4 linked regions of the Mus musculus genome follow. The protein of the gene in region 1 interacts with the protein of each later gene in a biochemical or structural test. Links are inferred from orthologs where the notes say so. Each region holds a gene or a part of one and is shown in the gene's direction. Other genes may lie near its edges. The genes, in order: H2ax, Rnf168, Mdc1 and Ppm1d.

What was found.
Region 2: of the proteins of H2ax (region 1) and Rnf168, one has a biochemical effect on the other in vitro, tested with the Homo sapiens proteins (2 studies listed by BioGRID). The link is inferred for Mus musculus from reciprocal best matches to the Homo sapiens genes H2AX and RNF168.
Region 3: the proteins of H2ax (region 1) and Mdc1 form a complex in vitro, tested with the Homo sapiens proteins (5 studies listed by BioGRID and IntAct, with this or other methods). The link is inferred for Mus musculus from reciprocal best matches to the Homo sapiens genes H2AX and MDC1.
Region 4: of the proteins of H2ax (region 1) and Ppm1d, one has a biochemical effect on the other in vitro, tested with the Homo sapiens proteins (3 studies listed by BioGRID and IntAct). The link is inferred for Mus musculus from reciprocal best matches to the Homo sapiens genes H2AX and PPM1D.

What each region holds. Positions count from the first base shown.
Region 1 is NC_000075.6:44,331,279-44,338,915, forward strand, and holds H2ax (histone H2AX), read left to right. Parts: upstream 1-3,436; 5' UTR 3,437-3,483; coding exon 3,484-3,915; 3' UTR 3,916-4,799; downstream 4,800-7,637. Other genes in the region: Dpagt1 (UDP-N-acetylglucosamine--dolichyl-phosphate N-acetylglucosaminephosphotransferase), read left to right, coding at 626-814, 1,285-1,372, 1,538-1,693, 1,779-1,844; Hmbs (porphobilinogen deaminase), read right to left, coding at 5,394-5,567, 5,648-5,734, 5,840-5,893, 6,078-6,197, 6,374-6,412, 6,637-6,750. UniProt on the Homo sapiens protein: Variant histone H2A which replaces conventional H2A in a subset of nucleosomes. Nucleosomes wrap and compact DNA into chromatin, limiting DNA accessibility to the cellular machineries which require DNA as a template.
Region 2 is NC_000082.6:32,296,008-32,304,045, forward strand, and holds the end of Rnf168 (E3 ubiquitin-protein ligase RNF168), read left to right. Parts: intron 1-2,380; coding exon 2,381-3,319; 3' UTR 3,320-5,435; downstream 5,436-8,038. UniProt on the Homo sapiens protein: E3 ubiquitin-protein ligase required for accumulation of repair proteins to sites of DNA damage. Acts with UBE2N/UBC13 to amplify the RNF8-dependent histone ubiquitination.
Region 3 is NC_000083.6:35,849,315-35,857,352, forward strand, and holds part of Mdc1 (mediator of DNA damage checkpoint protein 1), read left to right. Parts: intron 1-980; coding exon 981-1,691; exon of another isoform or gene 1,692-1,798; coding exon 1,799-1,842; intron 1,843-3,100; coding exon 3,101-4,574; intron 4,575-4,706; coding exon 4,707-4,798; intron 4,799-4,888; coding exon 4,889-5,008; intron 5,009-5,102; coding exon 5,103-5,285; intron 5,286-5,541; coding exon 5,542-5,667; intron 5,668-5,785; coding exon 5,786-5,896; intron 5,897-8,038. UniProt on the Homo sapiens protein: Histone reader protein required for checkpoint-mediated cell cycle arrest in response to DNA damage within both the S phase and G2/M phases of the cell cycle.
Region 4 is NC_000077.6:85,323,050-85,331,087, forward strand, and holds part of Ppm1d (protein phosphatase 1D), read left to right. Parts: intron 1-3,814; coding exon 3,815-4,043; intron 4,044-8,038. UniProt on the Homo sapiens protein: Involved in the negative regulation of p53 expression. Required for the relief of p53-dependent checkpoint mediated cell cycle arrest.

The sequences.
Region 1 (7,637 bases):
ATGAAGAGACTAAAATTGCTCATACTTTTGTTGGATATTCTCTGGCTCTGCCATTGGTAGTAGTTTGCCACTCTTGTGTGAGCACAAGCACTCGTCTGGTGTGTGTGTGTGTTTGTGTTTATGAACAGGGTATTAAATCTGAGGTCTTAATGCTAAGCAAGCACTTTAGATTTTAGCTGTATCCCCAGACTTTTTTTTTTTTTTTTTTTTGAGAATAGGGTTTTAGTAAGTTGCCCAGGCTGGCCTTGAACTTACGGTGTTGTCAGGCTGGCCTAGAAATACAGGCATGTGCTATTAGATCCCACCCTTCACCCCACCATCTGCACACCCTCGTGCTGGGGATCAAATCCATGACCTTGTACTCGCTAGGTGACTGCTTGCCCGGTGAGCTACAGAGCAGCCTGGTGCTGGTGTGGAATCCCTGCCTATCCTGCAGGAGTTGGGAACAAATGCTGTGTAGCCCCTAGGAGTAGATGAGTTGGGGGCCGTGGGGCCTATAGAGTTTCTGGAACAGCCTTTCTTTTAGAACTCAGGGTCAAGGCTGGCCTGTTACTCAGAGCGAGTGACTGAAAGAAAGAGTCAGTAACAACTCTTGCCATTGGCTGAAATCCTCTCTCCCACACAGGTACCCGTCCCGCGTGTTTGTGGGAGACACCTTCTGTTACTTTGCGGGCATGACTTTTGCCGTGGTGGGGATCTTGGGACACTTCAGCAAGACCATGCTGCTCTTCTTTATGCCACAAGTATTCAATTTCCTCTACTCACTGCCTCAGCTCTTCCATATCATCCCCTGCCCTCGACACCGGATGCCCAGGTAACCACTCTGGGGCTTTCAAGGGTCATAATAGTTTCTGACTTGGGATAGCTAAAGCCAACTTGCATTTCCTATGTAAAAAAAACATGAGGGGAAAGATGAGCCGACTGTATGTGGGTAGCCCATTGTAATTTACGAAGCTCGTTTACTTACATAGTATGTAATGCTTACAACAGCCCTGATCACGGAGCCAGAAACCAACTCCAGTACATAAGTACTCAGTACTCTTTTTTTTTTTTTTTTTTTTTTTTTTTTGGTTTTTCAAGACAGGGTTTCTCCTTATAGCCCTGGCTGTCCTGGAACTCACTTTGTAGACCAGGCTGGCCTTGAACTCAGAAATCCGCCTGCCTCTGCCTCCTGAGTGCTGGGATCAAAGGTGTGCGCCATCACGCCCGGCCTCAGTACTCTTCTTAGTAACCAGGGTGCAGAGGTCTCTGATTCAGTCAAATGAAATTATCTTCCCATTGCAGACTCAACGCAAAGACAGGCAAACTGGAAATGAGCTATTCCAAGTTCAAGACCAAGAACCTCTCTTTCCTGGGCACCTTTATTTTAAAGGTAACAAGGTAACAGGAGGTAAGGCCCGAGGCCGCCATCCTTAACTTGGGAAAAGAGAAACCTAGGCCTTTTCAGGCCCAAGGGGAGTTTGGGAACATCAAGAAGATCCCTATTCGTGAAGTAGATCTGCATAACTGAAGTCATCTTCACCTCTGGTCCCTGCAGGTAGCAGAGAACCTCCGGTTAGTGACAGTTCACCAAGGTGAGAGTGAGGACGGTGCCTTCACTGAGTGTAACAACATGACCCTCATCAACTTGCTACTTAAAGTCTTTGGGCCTATACATGAGAGAAACCTCACCCTGCTCCTGCTGCTCCTGCAGGTACAGCTCAGGGTGGGGCTTAGTAATGCCATGGCGTTTACATCTCTGGTTGGCCTTGCTTCTAATTCCAGTCCACTTCTCCCAGGTCCTAAGCAGCGCCGCCACCTTCTCCATTCGTTACCAACTCGTCCGACTCTTCTATGATGTCTGAGCTCCCTGACAGCTGCCCTTTACCTCACAGTCTCCATTGGACCTCAGCCAGGACCAGCCTCTGTCTGGTCCGAGATGACCCTCTGGTCCAGGCCTCGCTGACACTTTTGTTCTCAGCTTCTGCCATCTGTGACTACTGATATCCTGGATGGACACCTTGCTGGACTTGAAGTCCGCTAGTTGGACTTTGCCTAGGGCTTTCATCTTGCCTTGCCCTCCCTTTCTGTCCCATCTGCAGCCTCACCAGGTGGGCTTGTAGCCTCTATTATGCAAATATTCGTAGCTCAGCTTTCAGAGCGCTAACTCTAAAGGAATTCACCTGAGCCTTGAGAGAGAACCTGGGCTAGGGCTAGAGTTAGGGCTACATACTCCAAGGTGACCTCACATTTGACTATCAAATGAAGTGTTGTGATTGGGAAGCGTAGAGGCAGGGCCATGTGCTCAGAACGGTGACAATAAAGGACTGCCTTTTACTTGTTCCTCTAGTGTAGCATCCCCTCCCTCTGTCCTTTTTAACCTTCGTGGTGCTTCAGGAGTGAACACCGGGGCTTCCTTATACTTAACTGCTCTACCACTGAACTATATGCCAAGTCTGGTATATTTATTTTTTATATAGGCATTTTAGGATAGATTGGAAGGGTTAGACCGGGTACCTTTCCCAATAGGATACCGATCTCTGTTCCATCAGACCCTTTCTTGCAAAAAAGGCCTGTCACAAACTAAGACCAGACAGAACATGTTGAATAAATATCGCAGCACAAACTTGTGATAGCATAAAAGATCACAGTGCTCCATTTTCTGGCATAGGATTAAACTCCTAGGAGGTTTCATTTCGTTTCTTTTAAACCCTCCCTCCCTTTAATCTGCACTAGGGAGGCAGAGGCAGGCTGATCTCTGAGTTCCAGGACAGGCAGGGCTACTCAGAGAAACCCTGTCTCAAACAAACAAAAGCCAGATGGTGGTGGCGCACGCCTTTAATCCTCAGGCTTGGGAGGCAGAGGCAGGCGGATCTCTGAATTCAAGGCCAGCCTGGTCTACAGAGTGAGTTCCAGGACAGCCAGGGCTACACAGAGAAACCCTGTCTCGAAAAACAAACAAACAAACCTAAAAATAATAATGAACAAATAAACCCTCCGTCTACCAGATTAGAGGAGGGAGTGGGAAGTGCTCTAACCTGGAAGGAGAACGCTGCTTATAGTGTAGACCCTTTTCCTTTAAGACCAAAGACCGACTCAAATTTCCCAGAAACTGTAGAGGTAGCTCCAAGCTCCACCCTTCTAGTCTTCAGGTTTTGTTGTCGCGCCGTAGCGTTTAAATTTCGCGCGCTCTACACGGATTGGCCATTTCCAGGGGTGAGCAGCCTCCGGCTTGCGGCCACTCCGCCTTGTCTTCTTCCCCGGGTAAAAGGTTTTCAAATTGGACCAATCACTGGGCGCGTTCTCTCAGCTAAGGCGCGTCACCGAAGGGTTAATTGCAACCAACCAGAGGTGGGTATTAAAAAAGGAACCAATCAGGAGGAAGCGGGGGCGTGTCCAGGGAGTTTATAAGGCCGGGCTTGGCCGGCCAGGCGACCGTTGACTGCGGCGGTTGGTAGTTCGTGGTCTCTCAGCGTTGTTCGCAGCTCTTCTACCTCGTACACTATGTCCGGACGCGGCAAGACCGGCGGCAAGGCCCGCGCCAAGGCCAAGTCGCGCTCTTCACGCGCCGGCCTTCAGTTCCCTGTAGGCCGCGTACACCGGCTGCTGCGGAAAGGCCACTACGCCGAGCGCGTGGGCGCAGGCGCGCCGGTGTACCTGGCAGCGGTGCTCGAGTACCTCACTGCCGAGATCCTGGAGCTGGCGGGCAACGCGGCCCGCGACAACAAGAAGACGCGCATCATCCCGCGCCACCTGCAGCTGGCCATCCGCAACGACGAGGAGCTCAACAAGCTGCTGGGCGGCGTGACCATCGCGCAGGGCGGCGTCCTGCCCAACATCCAGGCCGTGCTGCTGCCCAAGAAGAGCAGCGCCACCGTGGGGCCCAAGGCGCCGGCGGTCGGCAAGAAGGCCTCGCAGGCCTCTCAGGAGTACTGAGGGGGCCCGCGCCGAGGCCGCCCAGCCCTCCCCACACCTCCACAAAGGCCCTTTTAAGGGCCACCACCTCCCTCACAGAAAGAGCTGAGCCACTTCGGGCTGCGGCGGCTTGCCGCGTCCCCATCCTTTCTCTTTCCCTCCTCTCCCCTCCCCGCCCTCGCGCCACTCTTCCCCTTACCCCGCACGGCCTCCGGTTCTGCCACGGAGGACGCGGGCGCCGCGGCACCTGCCCATCCCGGAGCTCGTGACATCGCTTCGCCGTTCTCGGTTGTGGACGACGGCTCCGTGCGGAGAGGCTGCGGCGCCTTCCCGGAGTCTCGGCCCCTCGCTCAGACGTCCGGCCGCGGTGGGCTTGAAGGTTAGTCCCTCCGCAGCTACAGCCCCGGCGTCTTTGCTTCAGCTTGGTGCTTAGCCCTCGCCTGGACCTTTGAAAAGTGACTTGATTGCCGGGCTTAGAGGAGGAGAAATGGATCACATTGTTTCCTTCGGTGTCACCGTTGCTGGCCTCATACCAGTTGACCCTGTCGCCATTCGTAGGCCAGTGTGGTGTGGCGGGGCCAAAAATGGTTGTAATGTGAACCCAGTTTCTCTAGGAATACCTCCCGGCAAGGGTCAGAGAGACGCTTACCGGCCTGTGGACAAGAGTTCTATACCTGCCGCAGGCGACTGGCAGCCGGGCCTAGCCATCCATCCCCTCTTCCCCAGCGACTCAACTACAACCCAAACACCTAGATACCAGCACAAGCCGGTGAATCCCTGTCTGGACTGAGCCTCTGGCTTCTGAACTGGAACTTTTGCAGCTATTACAAGTTTAGAACCTTAAGTGGGGAGATTTAATGGGCTAATTTTATTAAAGGATCGTTTGGTTTTGTTTTTTTAAAAAAGTGGTTTAATGTTGAATGCTGTAGTCCCAGGGCTGGACATATAGCTCCGTGGTAGAGCCATGTGCCTGGCACATCTTGGGAGAGAATGGGACTTCCCTTTCTGCAGGCCGTGGGAGTGGGAAAGGCTATGTAATCCACGAAGATCCCGTTGACTGAAGACAGGCTGTAGGAATTGAAGGCTGATTTTTTTTTTTTTTTTTTTTTTTTTTTTTTTTTGAGAACATGAGGCAAATCACAGCGTGTTTTACAACAGAAAGGTCTCAGACTCAATTCAAGTTTAAAAGGGCTTTGGGTTTATTCATATCTTCCCCAACTCTATCAGAAGAACCACATTCTAAACTGGTTTATTAGTGGTATTGGTTACATTCAAAGATTGGCATGGACTTTCTCTAAAGAGATGAAGCCCCCAACTACTGAGGGAAAGGCAGATATGGAGGCCCCAAGGTGAGGCATATCTTCCAAAGTGGAAGTCTCAACAACCCCGTGGTTCAATTTCCTGGGATAATCACATCCCTAGGGATGGAGCACAGGGCACTTGGAAGCCAGAAGTAGGCAGTGGAGTGGCAGCCAGGGTTCCTGTGCCCTACAGACCAGTTAGCGCACATCATTAAGCTGCCGTGCAACATCCAGGATGTTCTTGGCTCCTTTGTTGAGCAGCAAGCTGGCCAGGCTGATGCCCAGGTTCTCAGCAGCTAGCTGGGCTCCTCTTGGAATGTTACGGGCAGTGATTCCAACCAGTTGTGGGTCATCTTCTGGACCATCTTCTTGCTGGATGACAGGTTACAATTTTGGTAAGAGGAAGATTACAAGCAGTTCTATTTATTCCTTCCTCATCTCCCAGTCAATACCTGAACAGGGACCTGGATGGTGGCCTGCATAGTCTCTTGCATGCTATCTGAGCCATCTAGACTCCAGACTCCACCAGTCAGGTACAGCTAGGAAATAAAATGTTTGTACCAGGATATTTAAAGAAAGTTACTTAGATGTTTCGGTGCACATGGAAATGACAGTCCCTCCCCTCATCCATTTCCCTGGCTTACTTGCCCATCTTTCATCACTGTATGCACTGCTACGGGCACGCTGCAGCCTCCTTCCTGCAATGATATGTTCCTTTGAGCTCTAAGGGCCTTTAACACCACTTTTGACCACAGACCTCAAGGGGCCAGATCAAGGTCCTCTCCATACATACAAAACATTACATACTGAGTACTTGACAAATCTCTCTCCCTACTGCCCTTCCTGGTTTCCCCACAACACCATGGGAGGAGCCCATCTTACCAGGTGCCTCAGAAAAGCCCTTTCAGCAATGCAGCGAAGCAGAGTTTCAGGATCGTGCAACACACTCACTAGGTCCAAGATATCCTGGTCCTTGGCTCGGACTTCCACGGCTAGGGCTCCCTAAAGAACAACAGGCCTGATCTTCTCTAGTAATAGAGCTAAGCATGAGAAACACACCTCTACCTGCTTCCCTGGGTCTTATGCATAACAACCAAACCTGTCCCTCTCTAAACATCTTATTTGATGGATAGCAGGTGCCAAAGGTTATGAACCAGGTTCTCTCCAGGCAAACCTACCTGACCCACAGCATACATGCATTCTTCTGGGTGCAAAATCTGTGGAGAGAGACAAGATGGTGGGATAGGGGATGTTCAAAGGCAGTGAGCTAGGGTTTGCCAATCTAGGAAGCCTGGGGAAGGCACAGGTAGGAAGTCCAGCAATGAGTCCCAATATCCCTAGCCTGGGCTTCTGGTTGTAGTGTTGTTGGCAGAATGGTCAGGAAGAAATCAAGGCAGGAGAGAGGCAGATTCAATGGGAAGCAGAACAGGGCAGCTCCTACCTGGCCCACCCGGTTCTGCCAGCCCATGCGCTGTAGGCCAGCCACAGCCAGGACGATGGCACTGAATTCCTGCAGCTCATCCAGCTTCCGGAGGCGGGTGTTGAGGTTTCCCCGCTGTGGAGCGTTGCTAAGGAGAAGTCAAGACCTACCCAGTGCACCCTCTGCCCCACAGTCTCTTTTCCCCCCTCTAGCTAACTTTTAAAAAACTTTTGTTTTTGTTGAGTGGTGGTGTATACACCTTTAAATCCCAGCACTGGAGGCAGATACAGATCTCCATGAATTCAAGGCTAAATCTGGTCTACAGAGAGAGTTCCAGGACAGGCTGGGCTATACAGAAAAAGCCTGTCTAGAAAAATGGTAGAAATGAAAAAAAAAAAAAAAAAAAAGCTGGGCAGTGGTGACACATGCCCTTAAGCCCACAATTTGGGAGGCAGAGGTAGCCGGATTTCTGAGTTGGAGGCTAGGCTGGTCTATAAAGTGAGTTCCAGGACAGCCAGGGATATACAGAGAAACCCTGTCTCGAAAAACTAACTAACTAAATAAATAAATAATAAAATAAAAAGACTTCTTTGGAGTCGGGCGTGGTTAGAGCACGCCTTTAATCCCAGCACTCGGGAGGCAGAGGCAGATAGATTTCTGAGTTCAAGGCCAGCCTGGTCTACAAAGTGAGTTCCAGGACAGCCAGGGCTATACAGAGAAACCCTGTCTCGAAAAACCAAAACAAACAAAAAACAAAACAAAAAAAGACTTCTTTGGATAGGATCTCATAGTGTAGTCGTGGCTGTACTGGAACTTGCTCTGTAAGTTTTATTTTAGTTTTATGTGCATGGGTGTTTTGCATGCCTGTCTCCAAAGGCCAGAAGAGGGCATCAGTTCCCCTAGAACTGAAATACGAAATAGTTGTGAGCTACGGTGTGAGTGCTAGAAGTTGAACCGGGGTCTTCTGGAAAAGCAACCAGCACTTTAAACCCCTGAGCCATCTCTCTAGCCCCAGGACACAC
Region 2 (8,038 bases), on another chromosome or scaffold:
CCTTTAGCCATCCTGGAACTTACTCTGTAGACCAGGCTGGCCTCAAATTCACAAAGATCCGACTGCCTCTGCCTCCTGAGCTCTGGGATCAGAGGTGTGTGTACCACAACTGCTTGGCTGGGCCATCATTTCTAATCTCTAACATAAAATTTACACAACTGAACAGGTTACATGTGGCTCCTGTTTACCTAGGAGACTTTCAGATGCAAAGTAGTATATTTTAGGAGGGCCTTGTTAGCCAGGTATATCAAGGAGGAGTCCTTACAACTGAGACGCTAAGCAGCAGCCAAGCAAGAATGTGGTGTCACTCAAACCCCATGTGGTGTGGGCCTATAATCCTTTCACACAGGAAAGAAGATTATGAATTGAACTATATAGCAAGTTCCATGCCAGTCTAGACTACATGGTAATACTCTGTTTCAAAAGTCAATTATTTCTGGTAACATCCCCAGTATACAGCTCCAAGGGGTCCTGGTAAAGAACAAACTTAGAGTTGCTTTTTGTTGTTGTTTTGTTTTGTTTTATTTTATTTTTAAAAAGTCACTTCAAGGGGCTGGAGAGATGGCTCAGTGAGTAAGAGCACTGACTGCTCTTCTGAAGGTCCTGAGTTCAATTTCCAGCAACCACATGGTGGCTCACAACCATCTGTAATAGGATCTGGTGCCCTCTTCTGGTGTATCTGAAGTCAGCTACAGTGAACTTACATATAATAATAAATAAATTTTTAAAAAAAGTCACTTCAAGGTTTGGCTTTAAAAAAAATTTGTGTATTTTGCCTGTATGTATGTATGTATATATGTATGTATGTGTGTGGTGCCTGTGGAGTCCAGAAGAGGGCAACAGTTCCCTTGGAACTGGAATTACAGATAGCTGTGAACTGTCATGTGGGTGCTGGAAATTCAGTCTAGGTCCTCTGATGTACAGCCAGTTTTCTTAGCCACTGACTCATCTCTCCAGCCCTGCCTAAGAGCTAAGTAAAAAAAGAAAGTGTGTATTTCTGCTAGTCTCTCATTTAGTGTTCCTTTTAATGTTGAATGTAGACAACAAACGACAGTACTAGTAATAGTAGTTGTGGCTCTGTCACTGAGAGAAAACACGGGTATTGTCTAGGAATGGTAGCATAACCAGGGCTTGAGAGAGCCTAAGAAACAGTGGTTTTGGAAGTGTAAATCAGTAATACAGTCTGTATATAGAGTGAGCTCCAGGTTTGATTCCTATCACCAAGGGAAGGAAGGAGAAGGGAGAGGAAGGGAAACATATTTGCTACAAATTTTTTTAATAATTCTCTCTTCCTTAATATACAAATAATTCAGTTTGCTAGTATATCTTATCAAATGAAAACCTTTTGTGGGTTAAGAAATTAAACAAACAGGCTGGAGAGATGGCAGAATCTCTTGTCCAAGAGTCTCACATCAGTTTGCTAAACTGTCAGACCCTATCTCAAAAAAGACATCTCACCTGTGGTGGCGCATGACTTTAATCCCAGCACTCGGGAGGCAGAGCAGGCAATTTTCTGAGTTCTAGGCCAGCCTGGTCTACAAAATTAGTTCCAGGACAGTCAGGGCTATACAGAGAAACCCTGTCTCAAAAAACAAAAAGGTGGGAAAAACAAAACAAAACAAAAACAAAAACAAAAAATTCTCCTCAGAATAGGTCTTTGTAGACACATCATTAAAATACTCAAGAAGGGCTGGAGAGATTTCTTGGTTTTTTAAGATCACTCACTGCTCTTTTGGAGTGCCCAAGTCTGGCTCATTTACATCAACTGCTGTAACTCCAGCTCCAGGGACTCTGGACATTTTCACTCATGGTCATGCATTCCTCCCTTCCTCCCCAATATATACACATAATTAAAAATAAAATCTTTATAATGTCAGAGAAGGTCCATAGCACGTACAGGTCAACACACTCTGGACCAGAAGCTTGTAAGGTGAAAGAGGCCATGTCCTGATGCCAGCTATTGGCCATATGTTAAACATAATTAAAGCTACTGTAGGTTTCCATGTCAGTGAAATGACTTGTCCTGATCTTACTTGGCACACCAGGTAAAAAAAATAAAGTTAAGAAAGAATTATGGCTGGGCAATGGTGGCGCACACCTTTAATCCCAGCACTCCGGAGGCAGAGGCAGGCGGATTTCTGAGTTTGAGGCCAGCCTGGTCTACAAAGTGAGTTCCAGGACAGCCAGGGCTATACAGAGAAACCCTGTCTCAAAAAACAAAAAACAAAAACAAAAAAAAAAAAGAAAAGGTGGGTACAGTGGTGATGAGAATCCCTCATTAGTAATATGTGATCGTGTCTAGTGACCATTCATCTAAGAGATGAGTGTAGCTGGCTTATACGTTTTCTCTATATATACTCAGGAGTTTTGTTTTCTACAGGAAACTGATAGGAGTGACACGAAGAGCCCTGTGTTGCAAGACACAGAAATTGAAAAAAATATACCAACACTTTCTCCTCAGACCTGCCTGGAAACTCAAGAACAAGGTTCGGAGTCTTCTGCAGGGATACCCGGGCCACAGTTATGTGTAGGAGACACTAAAGAGTCCCTTGAGGGAAAAGTTGAAACAGTATCAACCAGTCCTGATGATTTATGTATTGTAAATGATGATGGACCTAGAGCCACAGTTTTTTACTCTAATGAAGCTGCAGTTAACTCTTCTAGTAAAATAGAAAATGAAGAATACTCTGTGACAGGTGTGCCCCAGTTAACTGGGGGCAACAGAGTTCCAACAGAGAGTAGAGTGTATCACTTACTAGTTGAAGAAGAGATTTCCGACAGAGAAAACCAGGAATCTGTATTTGAAGAAGTCATGGATCCATGTTTTTCTGCAAAAAGAAGGAAAATATTCATCGAATCCTCCTCAGATCAAGAAGAAACAGAAGTGAATTTTACACAAAAACTGATAGATTTGGAACATATGCTTTTTGAGAGACATAAGCAAGAAGAGCAGGACAGATTGTTAGCATTACAACTTCAGAAAGAGGTAGATAAAGAGCAAATGGTGCCAAACCGGCAGAAAGGATCCCCAGATCAGTACCAGCTACGCACACCCTCACCCCCAGACAGGCTGCTGAATAGACAAAGGAAGAATTCCAAAGATAGGAACTCCCTACAGCAAACTAATGCAGATCACTCAAAATCTCCGAGGAACACAAAAGGTGACTATTGGGAGCCCTTTAAAAACACATGGAAGGATTCAGTTAATGGAACAAAGATGCCAACTTCTACTCAAGATAATTGTAATGTATCTAAAAGTGCCTATACCGTACAGCATAGAAAGTCCCAGAGAAGCATTGTTCAAATGTTTCAGAGATAACCAAGCAAAGCATGGGGAAAGAGTTCTATAATCCAGAAATGATGTATTGCAAAGCTAGCTCTTCTGTCCTAATATCCTGAGATGTCTCACATTCTGCTCAGCAAGCTTGCTTACTCTCTGAGGTTTGGTTACAAAGGAAGAATTTACAAATGTGTTTCTACAAAAGACGGCTAGTAGGAAACAACCTTGGGAATTGTTTCCATTGTCAATAACTGCAGTGTTCTAAGTGTGGCATCTTTACAGGTATAAAAACACCTTGGTCAGTACATCTTCAGGTGCCACTTCCCTTTCCAAAACTTTTATAGCCTTTTTTTTCCCTCTTTTTTTTTTTAAATGAATGGGTAAGGAGTCCACACAGGTATCTTCCATAACACTAATTAGTTCCCTTCATAGTTTTAATTCTAAGCATTTTAGCATTTCCTTTGAATTAAAATAGGTAAGTATCGGACTGGAGAGATGGCTCAGCGGTTAAGAGCGCAGACTGCTCTTCTGAAGGTCAGCTGCTCTTCTGAAGGTCGCAAGTTCAAATCCCAGCAACCACATGATGGCTCACAACCATCCATAATGAGATCTGATGCCCTCTTCTGGCCTGTCTGAAGACAGCTACAGTGTACTTACATATAATAAATAAATCTTTAAAAAAAACAGGTAAGTATCAACATCAATTAGTTACAGAATAGCTGCTAGATTGTTTGTTTTTTTTAAAGATTTATTAAAAAAAAAAAAGCCGGGTGTGGTGGCGCACGCCTTTAATCCCAGCACTCGGGAGGCAGAGGCAGGCAGATTTCTGAGTTCGAGGCCAGCCTGGTCTACAGAGTGAGTTCCAGGACAGCCAGGGCTATACAGAGAAACCCTGCCTCAAAAAAAAAGAAAAGAAAAGAAAAAAAAAAGATTTTATTATTATACATAAGTACACTGTAGCTGACTTCAGACAGACCAGAAGAGGGTATTAGATCTCATTACGAGTGGTTGTGAGCCACCGTGTGGTTGCTGGGATTTGAACTTAGGACCTTCAGCAGCACTCTTACCTGCTGAGCCATCTCTACAGCCCCACTGCTAGATTGTTAATGCAAGGGTTTAAGAGTGGCATGGGCTGAGTGGTGGATTGGTAGGTAGGGAATCCCTGGAACTGAATGGGTAATCAGAAACTGGGTCCAACATGGACTTCAGGCTTCTTGTAGCAGAACATTCTCTTTAATCCCTTTAAGTGGCAGAAAATATTTAGAGTTTACAGCTTTTCCCTCCATGGCATCTTGGTGTGAGAGGGCGAATTGGTATATTTTTACTGATCTTGTCTAGAAACAAATAAATTATTGTAAGAAAATGATACTACGCTCTGCTGTCGAACACCTGGCTTTACCATCCTCGCTGCTTACTGGCTCAGACACATGCTTGTATGTGCGCACAGATGGAAAATGGTGTGGGTTTGTCTTGCATTACCCTGGGATCCAGACGAATCTTGTCAAGTTGAGCTTCTATCTTTTGTTAAGACAACTTAGCAAGCTGTAGTTTCAGTAGATTCTCTTCTGGTGTCTTGGCTCCATTTATTTCCTGTGAACATAATAAACTGTCCTAATGCAGTGTTTGGCTTTTTCCACATTTTTGTCATTTGAATTTTTTCTTCCGAGTTTTAAAACTTTTTTTATGTTTATCTTGGCAATTTTTTTTTCCTCTAAAAGCAATTTAACTTAATGCTTTAGGAAGATAGTGATGGGACTTCAAATTAGATATTATCACATTCAATCTTTGTGAAATAGTTCATGACCAAAAAGGGACTAAGAAGAACATTCCTGTATGGTATAGTGAGAGTTTATATATTTACCACCAGTTTGTCCGTGGGCAATCATCCTGATTGAAGTTGTTTTCAGGTTTTTAGTTTCTCTGTTAGCTCTCTGTTATTCTTACTGTTGATACCTTTGTGTTAGCATTAGATTTTTTAAATTGGTCATTAGTGAACTGCTTTTTCCTCATTTTTGTTGGAAAATATTAGAGTATTAAAGCTGTGCAGATTTGAAAAAAAGATGCCTGGCATGATGGCACAGCCTAATTCCAGCATGTCAGAGGCAAGGGCATCTCAGTTCTTAAAAAAAAAAATTAAAAGAATGATTAATAAAAATTGGCTCTCATGTTCATTTTACTACACTTTAATAAAAAAATGGCTACAAACCAGGCATGGTTGTACATGCAAACCTTATCAAGGCTAAGGCAGGATTTTGGTGGACAAACTGGGCTGCATTCTCTCTGAGTTAAATTCCCAGCCCAAATGAGTGAAACTGTCTCAAAAGCCAAAACAAAAATAGGCTACATAAAATTTAGCCTATGGGTTATAACAAAATTCCATGAAACTTAACATAGTTGCTAGGCTTAGTGCCATACTCCCTTTATCCCCCAGTGGTGTTTGTTTGTTTGAAGATTTATGTATATGAGTACACTGTCACTGTCCTCAGACACACCAGAAGAGGGCATAAGACCCCATTACAGATGGTTGTGAGCCACCATGTGTTTGCTGGGATTTGAACTCAGGACCTTCGGAAGAGCAGTCTGTCTCCGCTGAGCCATCTCTCCAGCCCCATGTACCCCACTCTTGTAAGTCAGGCAGGCAGATCTCTGAGGTAGAACGAAGACTGGTCTACACAGTGAGACCCTGTCTTTGCGTTCATTCATTCATTTATCGTGAGGGTCAGCCGCTGTGTGCTGCAGCGTGTTTGAGGAGGCTGTGGCACTGCACTAGTAAACCATCTGGCTGCTCCCACACAGCATTTTTAGTGAAGTTTTAAGCATCAGGGTTAAGAGAAGGTAAGGCCCACAGGAAGAAAACATAAGAGCGTCTCAAAGAGTCAATCTCTCTTAATACTTTGGAATTCTGAATCATGCTAAAAATATCTAGTCAAAGTAGCCTTAAATGTCCTTAAAATATTTCATGGTGTTCGTAAAGCTCAGCCTGTACTACTACATGTGACTTTGCTCTTGTTTGGCTTTTTAATTGTTTTTAGGGTATGTTATACATACATGTTTGATGTATGTAGTGTATTTTGATCCTACTCATTCGTCCCAGCTCCCCTCTTAACAGTATAGCATAATCTGGCCTTGAATTTCTGCTTTTTCAGCATCAACCACCACAACCAGGTAGCTTTTAAATTAGAATTTTAAATTAGAATTTTTCAGCATGGAAAAATTAGAACATTGAAAAATTTTTGGATTATTTTGCTTTGATTTTTGTTTTGTTTTTTCATTTGAAACAAAATTTGGGCTTTCCGGGTAGGATTGCGGCAGACCTACAGTCCTACTGTGGACTCAGAGAAAAACTGCATTGAAAACCATGCAAGGCAGTGTGGTGGGGCAGGCCTCTAATACCAGCACTCAGGCAGCTGGAGGCCAGCCATACATAGTCCCAGGACGGTCAGGACTACACAGAAACCCTATCTTGGGAGGAAAAAAAGAGGCTGGAAATCGAGCACAGTGGTTGAGTACTTGCCTGACAGTCCCAAGGTCTTAGCTTCAATGCTTGTCAACGTGGGGGTAGGGGCAGAGTGGTGGAAGGACCTATTTCACAGCTTAGCATGGACAGGAAGATTTCTAGTTCTAGGAAGAGTTCTAGGCTACATGGAGTAAGCCAGCCTGAGATTTATAGCTTCTCTGCCCTGGAGTTCTCCTTTGGCCAGCATCTCAAAAATACCAACTGAACAACCTCCCCACAGTTAAATAGACAATAACAACTGCAGAAGAGAGAAGAGCCTCTGGTGGAGCTACCTGCATTTGGACAGGAAGTTCATTGGGTGCAGCTTTAGTAAGCCCATTCTGGAGTGAGCTTTTCAGTGAGGGTGTCTGCAGCTTCCTTGAGTCACCAGGTACCTGAAAGCAACCCCTGGTTAACAAAACAAAAACCAATGAACAAAGCACTAGGTGTGGTAGCCCATGCACTTAATTCTAGTGTTCCTGAAGTAGAGCCAAGTAGATCTTGCAGAGCTCTAGGCCATCCTTGTCTCCATAGAGATTCCAAGCCAGGAATGTAAGGAGTCCAGGTGTAAAACTCCAGGGAGCCATAGATTACCGGGGACCCCCTGAGTGAACCACATGGAGCCAGGATCAATGCAAAAAGCAAGAGGAATTTCTTGTTCCAGTGCACTGGGGTGATGTTGGAGCCCTGGAGGATTGTTAAAGCTCTAAGGGGAGAAGTTACCCAATGCGTCTATAGAATATCTGAGGGGAGAGGTATCCTGGCTGTAGGAGCCAAGAAATACCACTAAGTCACACCCCACCACAAACCTGACACAAAATATTTTATTGGGAGAGACACAAGAGGGTGGCTGCCTCTGCTTGGGCAAAAGGCAGTAGGAAACCAAGAAGACGGGTTTATATAGAGTTGAGTTTGTGTACACACACAGAGCTTTCCTGGGTGGGTATTGGTGGGATTTCATGTCCTTAGCTTTTGGGATGCCCAGGGATTGAGGTTTGTTGTTGTCTTTTTTTTTTTTTTTTTTTTTAAGCTCAATGGTGACTTTTCAAAACCAGGAAGCAAGCTTGGATTTTATACCCCGTAGGAGAACACTGAAACTACCTGTAATAGAAGAGTTAATTTATTGCTTCTTAAACTATCAGGAGCTTGGGTTCTGAGAGAGGATAAACCCTGAAGACCTCTGAGGAGGAAATACTTCCACTGCTGTGTGTATCTCTGAGATATCCCCATTAGTCCACTTCTGGATGAGCTGGAGGGCTTGG
Region 3 (8,038 bases), on another chromosome or scaffold:
CCATGTGGGTTCTCAGGACTGCTAGAGCCACCAGTGCTCTCTCTTCAGCCCCTCATATTCTTGTTTGTTTGTTGACAAAGAGTTCCTGTAGCTGAGGATGACCTTGAACTGCTGGTTCTCCAAGGGCTGGGATTACAGGTGTGTGCCACCCAGCTAGGGATGGACGAGGACTTCATATGCTTGCTCGATGAGCTCTCTAACCACTGAGCTGTATCCGCAGACGCACTTTTCATATTCTTTTGTTATTCAAGAAAAGAACCTATACCAGACATGGTGACACACACACTTGTGATCCCAGAACTTGGGAAGCAGAGGCAGGAGCCCAGGGCCATCCTGGACTACATAGAAAGTTTGAGGCCTTGACTGAATGAGACCTTGTCTCAAACAACAACAACAAATCCAACAAAATGGGCTTGGCTCAGTGGTTAAGAGTGGCAATCATCTTAGAGGACCAGAGTCCAGCACCCATGTCAGGCAGCTGGCAACCATCTGTAACAGCACTTCTGGAGATTTCATCACTCTCTGGGTACCCCACACACACATGGTATACACATATACATGTGAATAAAAAATTTTAGAATAAGTCTTAAAAAATAAAATAACAAGTAAAAATTAGATTGCCTAGATTACTCTGATTCTAGTTCAGGAGATTTGGGGTTAACCCAAAAACTCAAAAATTTTTACACTCTACATTCTCTCTGGAGATTTAATCAGGGCTTTATGCATGCCAAATGAGTATTCTCCTAAAATGAGTGTTTTCCTAAACCACATCCCCAGTCCTTGTTTTTCAAATGAAGTTCCTGAGGGAAGCTGTGCGTGAGGTTATAATCTCCTGAATAGCATTCAGTGTTAGAACCACCACCCTACTCCCAGCTTCCCTTTTGTAACCCATGTAGCTGTTTGCTGCGAGCCTGCCTTCGTTCTCAACCTTAGTGCCTTTTTTACCTGTGTACTTATCTCCTTTCTCTCATCCTGTTTAGGTGCAGATACCTTGGATGTGCCTTGGGAAGTCTTGGCTACACAGCCGTTCTGTCTAAGAGAACAGTCAGAGACTTCTGAGCTTCATGAAGCTCATGGATCTCAACCATCTCTGCCTAGGGAACCACCAGGACACCAACATCTGGTTCATACCAGCCCAGTTCACACAGAGCTGTTGAGAATTGAAGGCAGAGAGATACAGACTGTGGAGAAAGCCATGGGTATACCAAAGGAAATGGCAGACAGGATGACCCCTGAGAGAGAGCCATTGGAGAGGGAAATCAGGGGAAGAACAGAAAACAGTGAGAGAGATGTGATAGGAGAAGAACTAATTCAGGGGACAAAGGACAGAGAGCCAAAGAAGGTGTTAGCTAGAGACAGTCAGAGAAAAGAGGCTGACAAGGATCTTGAAGGGAATAGGGAGAGTTTGGAGGTAGAAATAGAGATGTCCAAAGACTCACAGAAGAGAGAGAGAAAAGTAGAGAAACCAGAACCAAAGAGAGAATGGGAGCCAGCTGATTTAGAAGTGACTCCAGATAGAGGGGTGACAGAGGAAGGGAGCCATGATCAGAAAGGGCAAATTGCTAGTCTAACACTAAAGCCTGGAGTTGGGGTGAAGGACCTTGAGGGACTTGCATCAGCCCCAATAATCACAGGGAGCCAGGCAGATGGAGGAAAGGGAGACCCTTTGAGCCCTGGGAGGCAGCAGAGAGGTAAGTGTGAGGCAGGGGAGCCAAGGGGTATGTAGTCCTCATGGCAGTTAGTATCTGAGCTGCGGGCTGCACAACACTCAGCCAGTCTTGTTTTATTCTTTGACTAGGCCGCTTGAGTTGCCAGACGACACCTGCTGGAAAGGCTTCCAGGGTGAGCTGCTTTCTTATCATTCCTCTACAGCCCTTTGCCTAGCCTTCCTTTAATCTTTCTTTGTCTATACTTCCCATTTTCTCACTGCATGTACATTTGTGCATGTTTGTGAGGGTTTGTGTTTAGGGGCAGTGCATGATGAAGGCAAGTGATAGTCTTGTGTGTTGTTCTTCAGGGACTACCCAGCTTTTTTTTTTTTTTTTTTTTTTTTTAAAGATTTATTTATTTATTATATGTAAGTACACTGTAGCTGTCTTCAGACACTCCAGAAGAGAGAGTCAGATCTCGTTAGGGATGGTTGTGAGCCACCATGTGGTTGCTGGGATTTGAACTCCGGACCTTCGGAAGAGCAGTCGGGTGCTCTTACCCACTGAGCCATCTCACCAGCCCACTACCCAGCTTTTTAGAAGGGTGGTGGTGGTCAGGATCCTAAACTGGCTTAGAATATGCTGAAGTAGACTAAGATTCTTGCCAGCAAGCTTCAGGAATTCTCCTATCTCTACCTCTCTAGCATTGGGATTCAAAACATAGCCACTATACCTGTCCTTTTTACATGGGTTCTGGAGATTAAATTCAGGTCTTGGTGTTTGCTTTGCCTACTGACCTGTCTCCCTGATCCCATGTTCCCAGTTTCCTTTTTGTTTTGTTTTGTTTTGTTTTTCAAGACAGGGTTTCTCTGAATAGCCCTGGGTGTCCTGGAACTCACTTTGTGGACCAGAATGGCCTCAAACTCAGAAATCCGTTTGCCTCTGCCTCCCGAATGCTGGGATTAAAGGAGTGTGCCACCATGCCCAGCTCCCAGTTTTCTTGTTCGTCATTTATTAATTGGTTTCCATTCCTGTGTCCTGCCACCCATAGTTCCCTATATTGACCCAGAGATCTCTTTGTGTTTCATCCCTCTTTTGCCCCAGCCATGTCTTAGTTGCCATACACACCTGTGCATATCACTGCACTGAAGTATTAGGGTTAGGAATCCCTTACGGTGTCCAAAAGATTGTTTCCTTCCCCAAGGAGTTCCCAGCCTAAAGAGAGGTCACAGAAAGAAAGGTGCCAGTGAGTGTCCTGTGACCATAAATAGAATCAAACCAAACATGCAAATAGGCCTTTGGTCCCAGCACTTGGAAATTAAGCTAGAAGAGTCAGTGGAGGACACTGAAGGCACATGAGCTATGACTTCATAGAAACACTAAAAAAAGTTAAAGATCCTTGTCCACCTCTTTCTTGGTGTCTTTTGTCAATTGCTTCTCCTCCTTCTCAGGGTGATCCAGAGCCCCCAGACCACTGCCTGTTTTCTTCAGTGCCTGAAGCTTCAACTCAGAGTCTCCTCACCTCTCAGAGCCAAAAGCAGTCTACACCTCAGCCTCTGTTTTCGACCTCTTCTTCTGAGATACCCCTTCCTGAGAGTCTTCACACAAAGCCTAATGTCAGGCCACGGCGGTCCTCCAGGATGACCCCCTCCCCGCATTCCTCTGCTGCCCTTAAGCCAAATACTACCTGCCCCACAAACCAGCCTGCTGCCTCTAGACCAACATCCCGACCCACTCGGGGCAGGGCAAATAGGTCCTCTACCAGGACCCCAGAACTGATTGTCCCTGTAGACCCTGAACTCCAGCCTTCCACCTCCACAGAACAGCCTGTCATCCCAAAACTTACGTCCCAGGTCACTGAGGGCAGGGTACAGATGCCTGAACCACTTCTCACAGGTCCCGAGATCCAGTCTCCCACCTCCACAGAACAGTCTGTCACCCCAGACCGCAAACCTCGGGCCACTCGGGGCAGGCCAAGTAAATCTCCCAACAAGACCCCAGAACCACTTATTTCTACTGGCCCTGAACTCCAACCTCCCACCTCCATAGAACAACCTGTCATACCTAAACCCACTTCTCGGGTCACTCGGGGCAGACCACGTAAGTCTTCTGTCAGGACCCCAGAATCAGTTGTCTCCACTGGCCCTGAACTTCAGCCTCTCACCTCTATAGAACAGCCTGTTATCCCTGAACCTAGGGCCACTCGAGGTAGACCAAGTAAGTCTTCTATCAAGACCCCAGAATCAGTTGTCCCCACTGGTCCTGAGCTGCAGCCTCTTACCTCTGCAAAACAGCCTGTCACCCCTAACCTCACATCTCGGGCCTCTCGGGGTAGATCAAGTAAGTCTATCAGGACCCCGGAACCAGTTGTCCAAACTGGCCCTGAATTCCATCCATCCACCTCCACAGAACAGCCTGATACCCGTGAGCCCTCATCTCAGGCTAGGACACGTAGGTCTGCTGTCAAGACTCCTGAAGCGAGTGTCCCCACAACCCCTGAACTCCAGCCTTTCACTTCTAAAAAACAGCCTGCCCCTAAGCCTACAGCTCTGGTCACTCAGGGAAGGACATATAAACCCTCCACTGAAGATTGTGAATCAGTTGGGCCAGTGGCCCCTGATTTTGAGCCTTCCACCTCTACAGACCATCTTGTCACCCCTAAGGTTACAGATCAGAGCTTAACACTACAGTCTTCACCCCTAAGTGCTTCCCCAGTTTCCAGTACCCCTGATCTCAAGCCTCCTGTCCCCATAGCCCAGCCTGTTACCCCAGAGCCCATTCCACAAGCCAATCACCAAAGGAAACGAAGGGCTGCTGGGAAGCAGGGTTCCCGCACAGTCCCTCTGGGTCATAAGTCTTACTCTGCCCTCTCTGAACCTGAGCCCCAATCTTCAGCCAGCCAAAGCTCAGGAGCATCAGAAGCAGGTGAGTCAGTTACAACCACTCTTGAGCCTGCCATGCCCTTGATGCATAATGAAGCAGCTGGGAGCTCAGGGCCCATTCCTAAGCCCCAGCCTAAGGCTTCTCAAAACTGAAAGAAGCGTTTCACTACCACAGACTCACCCCGTCAAAAACGTCCCAGAAGACAAGCCTCCCAGAAAACTGTAGTCATCAAGGAAGAACCTGTAGAAACAGAAGTGAAGGAAGAGGTGAGAGGAGAGCTGAGGGTGGGGTGGGGATGTCCCTAGCTAGGAGCAAGAGCTACAGAGCTCAGGAATTCTCACTGAGATGCTTTTCAGCCTCAAGAGACTGCAATTCCAACACCAGAAAAGAGAAAGAGGGACCATGCAGAAGAAGTGACCCAGGGAAAACCAACTCGAAGCCGGCGAACTAAACCTAACCAAGAAACAGCCCCCAAGGTAGAAAACAAGGTGCTGGGGATTGAGAGATGGGTGCTGCTAGTGTGGGTTGCTGTGACCATCTTTATACCATACCCCGCTCCCCCCCCCCCAGGTACTGTTCACAGGAGTCATGGATTCTCGTGGCGAGCGTGCAGTGCTGGCTCTGGGAGGCAGTCTGGCCAGCTCAGTAAATGAGGCCTCCCACTTAGTTACTGATCGCATCCGCAGGACAGTCAAGTTCTTGTGTGCCCTGGGGAAGGGAATTCCCATCCTGTCCCTGAACTGGCTGTACCAGGTGAGAAGCCAGGAGATGACGAATGGCTGGAAAGGACTGCTCACCTAGCAGTGGGGAAGTAGTGGGAGGGAGGAGATGGAGAACTGGGTTAGCGAAGCAGTGGGCTGCTTTGAGAAGATACAGGGCTGGGATGACTCAGTACCAGAGCACTTGCCTAGCATGCTTGAAGTCTTGAGGTCAATCCTCAGCACTGGGAAGGACAAACAAGACACAAAACAGTCACTTCAGATAAACAACAGTTCTGCCTGTTCCTTAGTCCCGAAAGGCTGGTTGCTTCTTGCCGCCTGATGACTACTTAGTGACTGATCCTGAGCAAGAGAAGAACTTTAGCTTCAGCCTTCGGGATTCCCTGTGCCGGGCTCGGGAACGAAGACTGCTGGAGGTAAATAAGAGTCTGTCTTCTGCACCACGCTGCCGTCCTATCCCCTGGAGCTCTTAGAGGTTTCCCAGTGCCTTTGGCCTGTCACTGCAGGTGTCTGTCTCCATCATTCCTCTCTTAGGACTATGAGATTCATGTGACCCCTGGCGTGCAGCCACCCCCCCCTCAGATGGGCGAGATCATCAGTTGCTGTGGAGGCACTTTCCTGCCCAGCATGCCTCACTCCTATAAGGTATGGCAAGCATAGGAAGTGGGAACAAGAGAGGGTTGGAGGAATGATGGAGGGAAAGAGGAACAAGAATGAGGGAAGAGAGGAAGAGGTGCTGGCCTCAAAGGGACTCGGTGTTGTTGTTTTTTTGTTTTTGTCTTGTTTTGGTGTCAGGTACTTATTTTTTTATTTTTTATTAGATATTTTCTTTATTTACATTTCAAATGCTATCCCAAAAGTTTCCTATACCCCTTCCCCACCCCAGCCTCAGTGTTGTTTTTAAGGTTTAAACATTTTCAAGCAGCCAGATATGGTGCTCCACATTGGCAGTTTAGCACATGGGACTTGAAGCATGAGGAGAAGTTCTAGGTATATACTCATGGAAGCCCCTGGGACTGCGTGTCCCTTTCTTTTTTTTTTTTTTTTTTTTTTTTTTTTTTTGGTTTTTCGAGACAGGGTTTCTCTGTAGCCCTGGCTGTCCTGTCACTTTGTAGACCAGGTCACTTTGTAGACCAGGCTGGCCTTGAACTCAAGATCCACCTGCCTCTGCCTCCTGCATGTCCCTTTCTTACTCACCCCCACCCCCACCCTAACATTTTTTTAAGTCTATTTTACACACAGAGAAGAGGGGCTGGAGAGACAGCTGTGGTTAGGAGTACTTGCTGCTCTAGCATGAGCACAAGCGTTTGCATCCATCACCCACAGAAGGGCTCACAAGCATTGTAACTCCAGCAGCCAGGAAGTCAGAAGCCTTTTTGGCTTTCTTTTCGTTTAAGTGACTGATTAATTTATTAAGATTTAGTTATTCGGGGCTGTAGCGAACGGGGGCCAGAGCAAGTGGTCTGGAGCAAGAGGGAGAAGGAAAGGGGGGCTGGGAGGGAAAAAATTATTTATTGAGCTGGCCATGGTGATGATCCCAGCACTCAGGAGGCAGGGGCAGGAAGATCTCTGAATTTGAGGCCATCCTGGTCTACATAGCAAGTTCCAGGACAGCCAGAACTGTGTCTCAAAGAAAAAAAAAAAGGAAACAAAGAAAAAGACTTATTTTGTGTGTGTAGATGTTTTGCCTGAACGTATGTCGGCACTATTTGTGCACCTTGTGCTGGTAGAGGGCAGAAGAGAGTAGAGGGTATTGGATCCCCTGAGACTGGAGTTACATATTGTTGGGAGCTACCATGTAGATGGTGGGAAGCAAGCTTGGGTCAAAAATAGATAGATATACTTTGCTTTGCGCCCATAGTTAATAGTTTCAATAATGTTACACTTCTTTCTTTTTTTTTCCTTCCTTCCTTCCCTTTTTTTTTTTTTTTTTCTGTAGTCAGGCAACCTTTTTTTGTTTGTTTGTTTGTTTGTTTGTTTTTTGAGACAGGGTTTCTCTTTATAGCCCTGGCTGTCCTGGAACTCACTCTGTAGACCAGGCTGGCCTCGAACTCAGAAATCCGCCTGCCTCCGCTTCCCGAGTGCTGGGATTAAAGGCGTGCACCACCACGCCCAGCTTCCAGGCAACCTTTTAATGCAGTTCCTTATGTTATGGTGACCCCCAATCATAATATTTATTTATTTATTTATTTATTTATTGTTTTTTTTTTCGAGACTGGGTTTCTCTGTGTAGAGCTCTGGCTGTCCTGGAACTCACTCTGTAGACCAGGTTAGCCTCAAACTCAGAAATCCGCCTGCCTCTGCCTCCCAAGTGCTGGGATTAAAGGCGTGCACCACCACCACCCAGCTCCATGTATTTATTATATTTTCTGATTCTCTATTGTGTAGTGCCCCTCGCCCTCACTCCACCCCCTGCCTTTGTAGGAATTGACTTCCAGCAGGGAGGAGACCAGCTGTCCCTGAGAATATTCCTCAGTCAGGACTTTCCTGTGTTCCCTTGTTTGCATCGTTTTTATCTTATCCCACTATATTCTGTGTCTCATGCAGATTATGATAAAAGCTGCAGTGGGGGCTGGGAATGGAGCTTGGTCGGTAGCCTGTTTCCTAGCATATACAGAACTGGGCTTGATACCTAATACACATAATACCTACCTGTAATCCCAGCACTCTGGAAATGGGGACAAGAGGATCAGAAGCTCAAGGTTATCTTTAACTATGTAGTAAATTGCAGGCCAGCTTGGGTTAGTTATATGAAACCCTTTTCAAAGACAGGGGAGGGTAGGTTGA
Region 4 (8,038 bases), on another chromosome or scaffold:
AATTTTGAACATGACTCAATTACTTGTATGCTTTTAGTAAATTTTTGTTTTTCTGAATTTGCCTTTTGTTATTATTTATTTATTTATTTAGACACACAGGGTCTTTTTGTGTAGCCCTGGTTGGCTTAGGATATGATATGTAGACCAGGCTGGTTGTGAACTCATCAACTCTCTGTCTCTGTCTCCCTAGAGCTAGAACTAGGTGTCTAGCATCACAGATAACTAAATGTCAATAACAAATAAGTGTATATACTGTCCAGATAGAGAAGAGGACATTGCCTGTATTGCACACGTACCTGAATATCTATGCTGGTCTTACTTGTGTTGTCCCTGTGTGGTGCTGGGTTTTGAATATGGAAGTCAGTGTATTCTAGATAGGCTTTCCTTTTTACTTTCTAGAGATAGTCTCATGAAGTTGCCCACACTTGCTTTGGACTGGTTTGTGTTTTTTTTTAAAAACAAATCTATGGTTTGTGTTTTTTTTTAAAACAAATCTACTTTTTTTTAAAAAGGTTTATTTTATGTATGTGTGAGTACACTGTAGCTGTCTCAGACACACCAGAAGAGGGCATCAGACCCCATTACCGATGGTTGTGAGCCACCATGTGGTTGCTGGGAATTGAACTCAGGACCTCTGGAAGAGCAGTCAGTGCTCTTAACCTCTGAGCCATCTCTCCAGCCCTTGCCTTGAACTGTTGTTGGTCCTTCCACTTCGGCCTTCTAGTAGGTAGGATTAGTTTCCTGCCACTGTGGCTTCATGTTTCTCCTTCCAAGGAGTAACCATCTCTTGAGCCTCCATTCTGTACTGCTTGCTGATGATTTTAGTCGTCTGACCAGGTAAGTTCTGTACATGATGTCCTTTATCTCCGGAGTTTCTGAGATTCTTAGGCATTGTGTAGAATGAGGAGCGCCTCAGGGTTTCTTCACTCTGTGAGCAGTGCTACTCTGGCCATGTGTTTCTGCAGTGATGTGTGGTACTCCTGGGGTGGTTGAGGAGGTCCTGTCTTCCTCCCACATGATACCCAAGTGTCCCTGCAGTGTTCATGCTGTCCTCAGTAGCTGACTGAAGTGTGTGTTGCTTCCGCATTTCCGACCACATGTGCTGTGTCATCCTTTAAGCACTTGTTCTCATGCTGTGTTCTCTTGTGGTTTTTAATTACTATTTACCGGATGACTGAAGAAAACTTGAATGCCTTTGCGTGCTTTTTGTCTGAGTTTTCTCTTTGGTTCAAGGCCTATTTAGGCCTTTCTTTTTTCCTTCAGGTGGCCTGTCTGACTGATTTCAGTTGTGGGGACATTTTGTAGACTTTGTATACGTCAGTGAAGTAGTCTGATTCTGCTCCTGGTAACTTACTAAGTAAACTTGTGGGTACACAAGGAGGCCAGAAGGTGTTGGGTTCCTTAGGGCTGGAGTTAGAGGTGTGGGTGCTGCTGTGACCTCATGATTGAGCAGCAGGGGCTTGTCACTACTGAGCCTCAGTTTACCACCCATTGCCTAATTAAGGAGAACCAATTTATTCCCTCTTACTAGCTTTTCTTGCTTATCATTTGACTGCCCTCTGCAGTTATCCTAGTATAACTGTTTGCTCAAACTTACAGGACTCCCTCATTTTGCTGTGACCTTTACTGTGCTATGGGGTGACTTTTATATTTTGTCCTTTCAGTAGAGTTCCAGTGGGCAGAGTATGTAAGTAAGTGATTCAATCTGCTATCATGAATTTACAGTTGGAGTTTAGTATTACAGAGTTGTTGTAATACTAAATTGTTGTTGTCACTGAATTTAACTAGACAGTATATGGTTTGGAATTGATTTGAGAGTTCTGTTATTTAATTTTTAAGTTATCTTAAGCAAGCTTCTTAACCATGCAAAGTATTTATTTCTTCATTTGTAAGATGAAAATAGGAATAATTTGTTTTTCTTTTTGTTTTTCAAGACAGGGTTTCTCTATATAGTTTTGGCTGTCTGGAACTTAACTTTGTAGACCAGGCTGGCCTCAAACTCAGACATCTACCTGCCTCTGCCTTCTTAGTGCTGAGATTAAAGGTGCACACCACCACTGCCTGGCTAGGGAAGAATTTTATGTCTTATTGGCTTACTGTAAATATTATTTGAAGTAGTACGTGCAAGCTTCTTTGTATAGGACTTTGGTGATGAGTAAATGTTGTTGGGTGGGTGGGGAGATGGTTTAGCAGTTAAGAGCACATCCTGCTTTTGCAGAGGACCTGCCTCAGTTCTCAGCACCCATCAGGAGACTAACAACTGCCTGTAACTCCAGCTCCAGGGAATTTGATGGCCTCTTTTGGCCTGTTTGGGCTCTGTACACATGGTATACATAATTGTCAACCACATACATATGCACATGTATACACACACACACACACACACACATACACACACACAAATGAAAATATGGGAGGCAGAGGCAGAGAGGCCGAGGTAGAGTCTCTGAGTTCAAGATTAGGTTAGCATGATCTACATAGCAAGTTCCAAGCCAGTCAGGGCTACATAGTGATATCTTGTTTCCACCCCCCCCCCCCCAAACAACAACAACAACTCAAGTCAAAACTAAGTAAATAAATTAAAATTACTAAAATTAGAATATTTAAAAGTTGTTTAAAAATAAAACCAAGTGGCTATTTCTGGAAAGATACAAGTGCTGGAATTTGACGAAATGGTATTATAACCAACTGTACTGCAAAGCTTGGTTGTTGCTTAATGGTAAACTTGAATGGCATGTAGGAGGCCTTGGGTTTGGTTCCTAACAAAGAAAACTTAGTATACCTTTGCTTCTCTATGTAGTACATGGAAATAGAAAATCTATCCTGTAATTTTTTTCTCTCTCAGTATTGGTTTATAGTTTTATTATAGTTATTTATAAATTTATTGATTAGAGGAATTAATTTAAATTCTCAGGTAGTGTTCTAGTTAGTTTTATGTCATCTTGGCACAAAATAGAATCATTTTGGAAGAGGGAATCTCAACTGAGAAAAAACCTGACCAGATAGACCTGGACAAGCCTGTAGTGCATTTTCTTGCTTGATGGTCAATGTGGTAGGGCCCAGTTCACTAGGCAGTACCACCCCTGGGCTGGTAGTCCAGGGTTAGCTAAGAAGGTAGGGTGGGAAAGCCAAGAGGAGCAAGACCTCCTCCATGGTCTCTGCCATCAGTTCTTACCTGCCCTGGCTTTGATGATAGAATATAATGTGGAAATGTAAGATGAAATAAGCCCTTTCTTGGGGCTGGAGAGATGGCTCAGTGGTTGAGAGCATTGACTGCTCTTCCAAAGGTTCTGAGGTCAATTCCCAGCAACCACATGGTGGCTCACAACCATCTATAATGAGATCTGGTACCCTCTTCTGGTGTGCAGACAGAACACTGTACACAATAAATAAATAAATCATTTTTTTTTAAAGCCTGTTCTTTTCTACTAATGCTTGTTTTGGTCATTTTTTTTCCCCTTAAGACAGGGTTGTATGTCGTCCTGGCTGTCCTGGAACTCACTCTGTAGACCAGGCTGGCCTTGAACTCAGAAATCTGCCTGCCTCTGCCTCCCAAGTGCTAGGATTATAGGCGTGCGCCACCGCTGGTCATGGTGTTTTATCATAGCAACAGAAACCCTACCTCAGCCAAGTCGATTCTAAGCCTTCTCCCTCCCTCCCTTCACCTCCCTCCAGTTCAAGATGTTTTTCTTAAATTTTTTGCTGTTCAAACTCAAGTGTTAACATGCTAATTCAAGATAAGTTGCTTTTTATATTCCGATAACTGTTCTAATGTGGAGAAGTAAAATATAAAATGTTTTCTTCCTTATTACAGCAGAATGGCCAAAGACTATGACAGGTCTTCCCAGCACGTCCGGGACAACTGCCAGTGTGGTTATAATACGGGGCATGAAGATGTATGTAGCGCATGTAGGTGACTCTGGGGTGGTCCTTGGAATTCAGGATGACCCAAAGGATGATTTTGTGAGAGCTGTGGAGGTGACACAAGATCACAAGCCAGAACTTCCCAAGGAAAGAGAAAGAATCGAAGGACTTGGCGGCAGGTGATCATTTGTTTTGTCTGTCTTATTTTGGTTCTGGTTAGCTAACTGTGTCTACTCTGTCTTTTGTCTTTCTACATCTCCCCCACTACTCCCTTTTAATTGAGGCAAGGTAGTTGTGTAGGCCAGCCTGGTCTGTAACTCACTGTGTAGCCTAGGCTGGTCTTCAGCTTGTTGCCCTTTGCTGTAGTTTCCGCAGGTCTGGGATTATACATGAATCCTTCCTCTTGCCTTCCACTCTCTTTTTGAGATAGAATCTTTTTTTTTTTTTTTTTTTGGTGTTTTTGAGAAAGGGTTTGTCTGAGTAGCTCTGGCTGTCTTGGAACTCAACTTTGTAGACCAGGCTGGCCTCGAACTCAGAAATCCGCCTGCCTCTGCCTCCCAAGTGCTGGGATTAAAGGCGTGCATCACCACGCCTGGCTGAGATAGAATCTTATATAGCTGAGCCTGACCTGGAACTCTGATCTTCCTGCCTCTTCCTCCCAAGTGCTTTGCTGGGATTACATGCATGGGCAACTATACTTGCTCTGTTTTCCTTTTTAAAGCAGTTAATCTTCTAGTATTATGCGGTTTTATTTGCTTGTTGTAAAAATATCACATTTACATTATTATTTTGAATTGCTTTATTGATGAAAATGGCTCTAAATGAGAAGTAATATCTCAAGTAACAATAGGTAAAATTTTATTGAAAGCCTTTCAAATAAATACTGACATAAGACCTTCAGAATCTGCATGGAGCAGAACAGTTAGAGTATGCCATGTGCCTGGCAGATACTATTCTTACAGCTTATCATAATCCTAGATATTTAGAAAAGCATTCTTCTTTTTAAGTCTCTTGGGACATGTATGTATGTATGTATGTATGTATGTATGTATATATGTATGTATGTATGTGTCTACAGTGAGAGAAAATGCTTCATTGACAGAACTGGTATGCTTTGGCATTTTTGCAGAACTCGCAGTGTTTAGTAGGTGACAGCTAGTCTTTCATATCTTCTGTCTTTAGACTGTCATGGAATGTTACCTTTGGTTGCAATAGCTGGTTACACACACATTTCAATGCAATTGTTTGTTTGTTTATTTATTTATTTTGAGACACAGTATGGGCCAGCCTCAAACTCACAGAGGTCCTCCTACTTGTACTGGGACTAAAGTATGTGCCACCAAGCTCCTCCCTCTCTTTCTTTTTTCTTTCTTTTTTTTTTTTTTTTAAAGATTTATTTATTATATGTAAGTACACTGTAGCTGTCTTCAGACACTCCAGAAGAGGGAGTCAGATCTTGTTACAGATGGTTGTGAGCCACCATATGGTTGCTGGGATTTGAACTCCAGACCTTTGGAAGAGCAGTCGGGTGCTCTTACCCACTGAGCCATCTCACCAGCCCATCTCCCTCTCTTTCTTTGTGGTAGATTGTGTGTGTGTTACTTGGGATTGAACTGAGAGTCTTATGCAAGCTAAGCAAGCACCTCCTGCTGACTTGGATTCCCAGTTCCCCATAATCAATCAATCTATCAATCTATCTATCTATCTATCTATCTATCTATCTATCTATCTATCTATCTATCTATCAGTCAATCATATGTAAGTATACTGTAGCTGTTTTCAGATGCACCAGAAGAGGGCGTCAGATCTCGTTATGGATGGTTGTGAGCCACCATGTGGTTGCTGGGATTTGAACTCAGGACCTTCAAAATAGCAGTCAGTGCTCTTACCCGCTGAACCATCTCTCCAACCTACTTATTATTTTTTGAGACAGGGTCTCACTATGTAGCTCTGGCGGTAGACCAGGTTGGCTCTGATCTCACAGAGATTGTATGTGAATGCTTCCTGATTGGGCCACCATACTTGGCCCTCACAATCTTTTAAATTGAGGCATTTTTTTTTTTTTTTTGACATTTCTGGAGATCAAACCCAGTCCTTGCACATGTAGGCAATCTCTGCCATTTAATTGTGCCACTGGTCTTTTCCTGTACATGTTTAATATTGGAAGGCCTTTTGCTTTTTCATTATATTAAGAAGATTTTTTTTTCTTGAGTATTTTCTTATTTTTTTAACTTGAATTTTTAAAGTTATTTGATTTGATTTTTTTTTCTTTTTTCTTTGATTTTTAATCTCATTAAAAAGAAAGAGTTTATAGTTTTTGCCTTTTCACTTAAAAATACCATCTGGACAGTTGGATACATGCCTTTTGCCATTTGGGAGCAGGTGTATTTTTGCAAAAATTGAGCCATTTTATGATAAGTTATTTCCTGTCTTCCCTCAGTCCCAGCCTAGGCTGTTGGCCAGCACTCTTGTTTTTGTAGCCTTCTGTTGATGCGCAGTCAGCTCTCTGCATGGCAGGCTGTTCCTCTCCATTTGCCTTTTAATACAGAGCAACAACAGAGTGTGCGGGAAAAGTAGTATCTTGTAACATTGCTTTGGTTTTAGACTTTTTCTTAAGCAAACAGTACCATTATTTGTCTTGTTTCTCAGACACACAAAGACCATAATATCCTTGCCAATAAAGTATCAGGGGACCTCTCAGTACATTTGTATTGGGGACAGCTCCTGGAATTGCTCTGTGCTGAGGCTCACCTGTCATGTTAGATGTTTAGAGAGAACACTTGGGCTTTAAGGCGGTTGGAAGACAGAATGCTGGCATTCATCCTCAGTGCGATCTCCTGTGTGACGATGTTCTTGTGAGTGGCCAGTTTACTTCATTCTACCCACTGAGCTTCAGCTTTGAAGAAAAGTAAGAAAGCAACCGCCGTTTGTCTTCCACCTCTCCTTGGTGTTAGAACTGAAAGATGAACTTAGTCTCCAAAAGGAAGGTGAACAAGGGACTTTCTGCAACTCTGCTTTATATTGACATTTTTGGATACTCTGTTTTAATGTGTTTCAGCTCAACTGTCACCGTATCAGTGATAACCACTGGCCACATGTGACTGCTTAAGTTTAATAAAAATTAAGCCATAGAACCAGTTCCCTTGTCCTACTCACAGTGTTTTCTAGCCCTGTGTTAACGGAGGACAGGGCAGATTGACCATTTCCTACAGCTGCTCGGCTCTCCTGGTGTGGCCTTTGATTTTATTGCGTTCTCTCTTTAGGTGAACTTGTCTACGGATTCTCTCCCTGTCAGTCTTGTCTGGGAGTGTGTGTACCCGGCTAAGTGTGGAGGTCAGAGGACAACTAGGACATTGCTCCCTGCCTTGTAACACAGGGTTTCTTTGCTGTTTTCCTGCTGAATTCCCCATGCTAGATGACCAGAAAGCTTCCAAGGATTCCCCCTTCTCTGTCTTCTATCTCCCTGGAGGAGGAGTGCGGGGATTACAGACGTCCCTGCATTTATGTCTGGCTTTACATAAGTCCTGGAGGTCTCAGTTCAGGTGGACAGGTTTGCACCGTCAAAGGCCTCAGTGTATCCAGCCATCACTACTATCCTGTCCTCGGGGATAGGTTTTTGTTTTTTCTTTTATTCTGCAGTACTGGGTATTGAACCTAAGGGCTCATGTATGTTAGCCAAGTGCTCTACAACTGAGCTGTATCCCTAATCTAGTTTTCCAGGCTGTGAAGCCAGTTAATGTTCATTTTGTTTAGGGAGATAGAGTCCTGCTGCTCACATACAGTAAACTTATAAGAAGGTGACACATGTAGCAGTGTGTCAGATTTCTTATGAACAGTGAGACTATCTGGCAAATCTGTATGTTGGGCTAGAGGCAAGTCAGGTGGGTGCCATGCCCAAGGCTCAGTGTTCAGTTCCCAGCAATGGGGACGGGAAAGGCTTCATATCATCTGGTTTACATATCTTCTGTCTATGTATAGTTTTTTTTATTACATTTATTTGTGTGTTTAGGCATGCATAAAGGTCAGAGAACACCTTGCAGAACCAGCTTTTTCCTTCTAATATGTGGACCCAGTGGATTGAGCTTAAGTCTTCAGGCTTGGTGGCAAGCAGAATATCTTGCTGCTCCCTTTGGTTATAGTTGAAGATGGGGTTCTCATTATGTTGTCCAGGTGA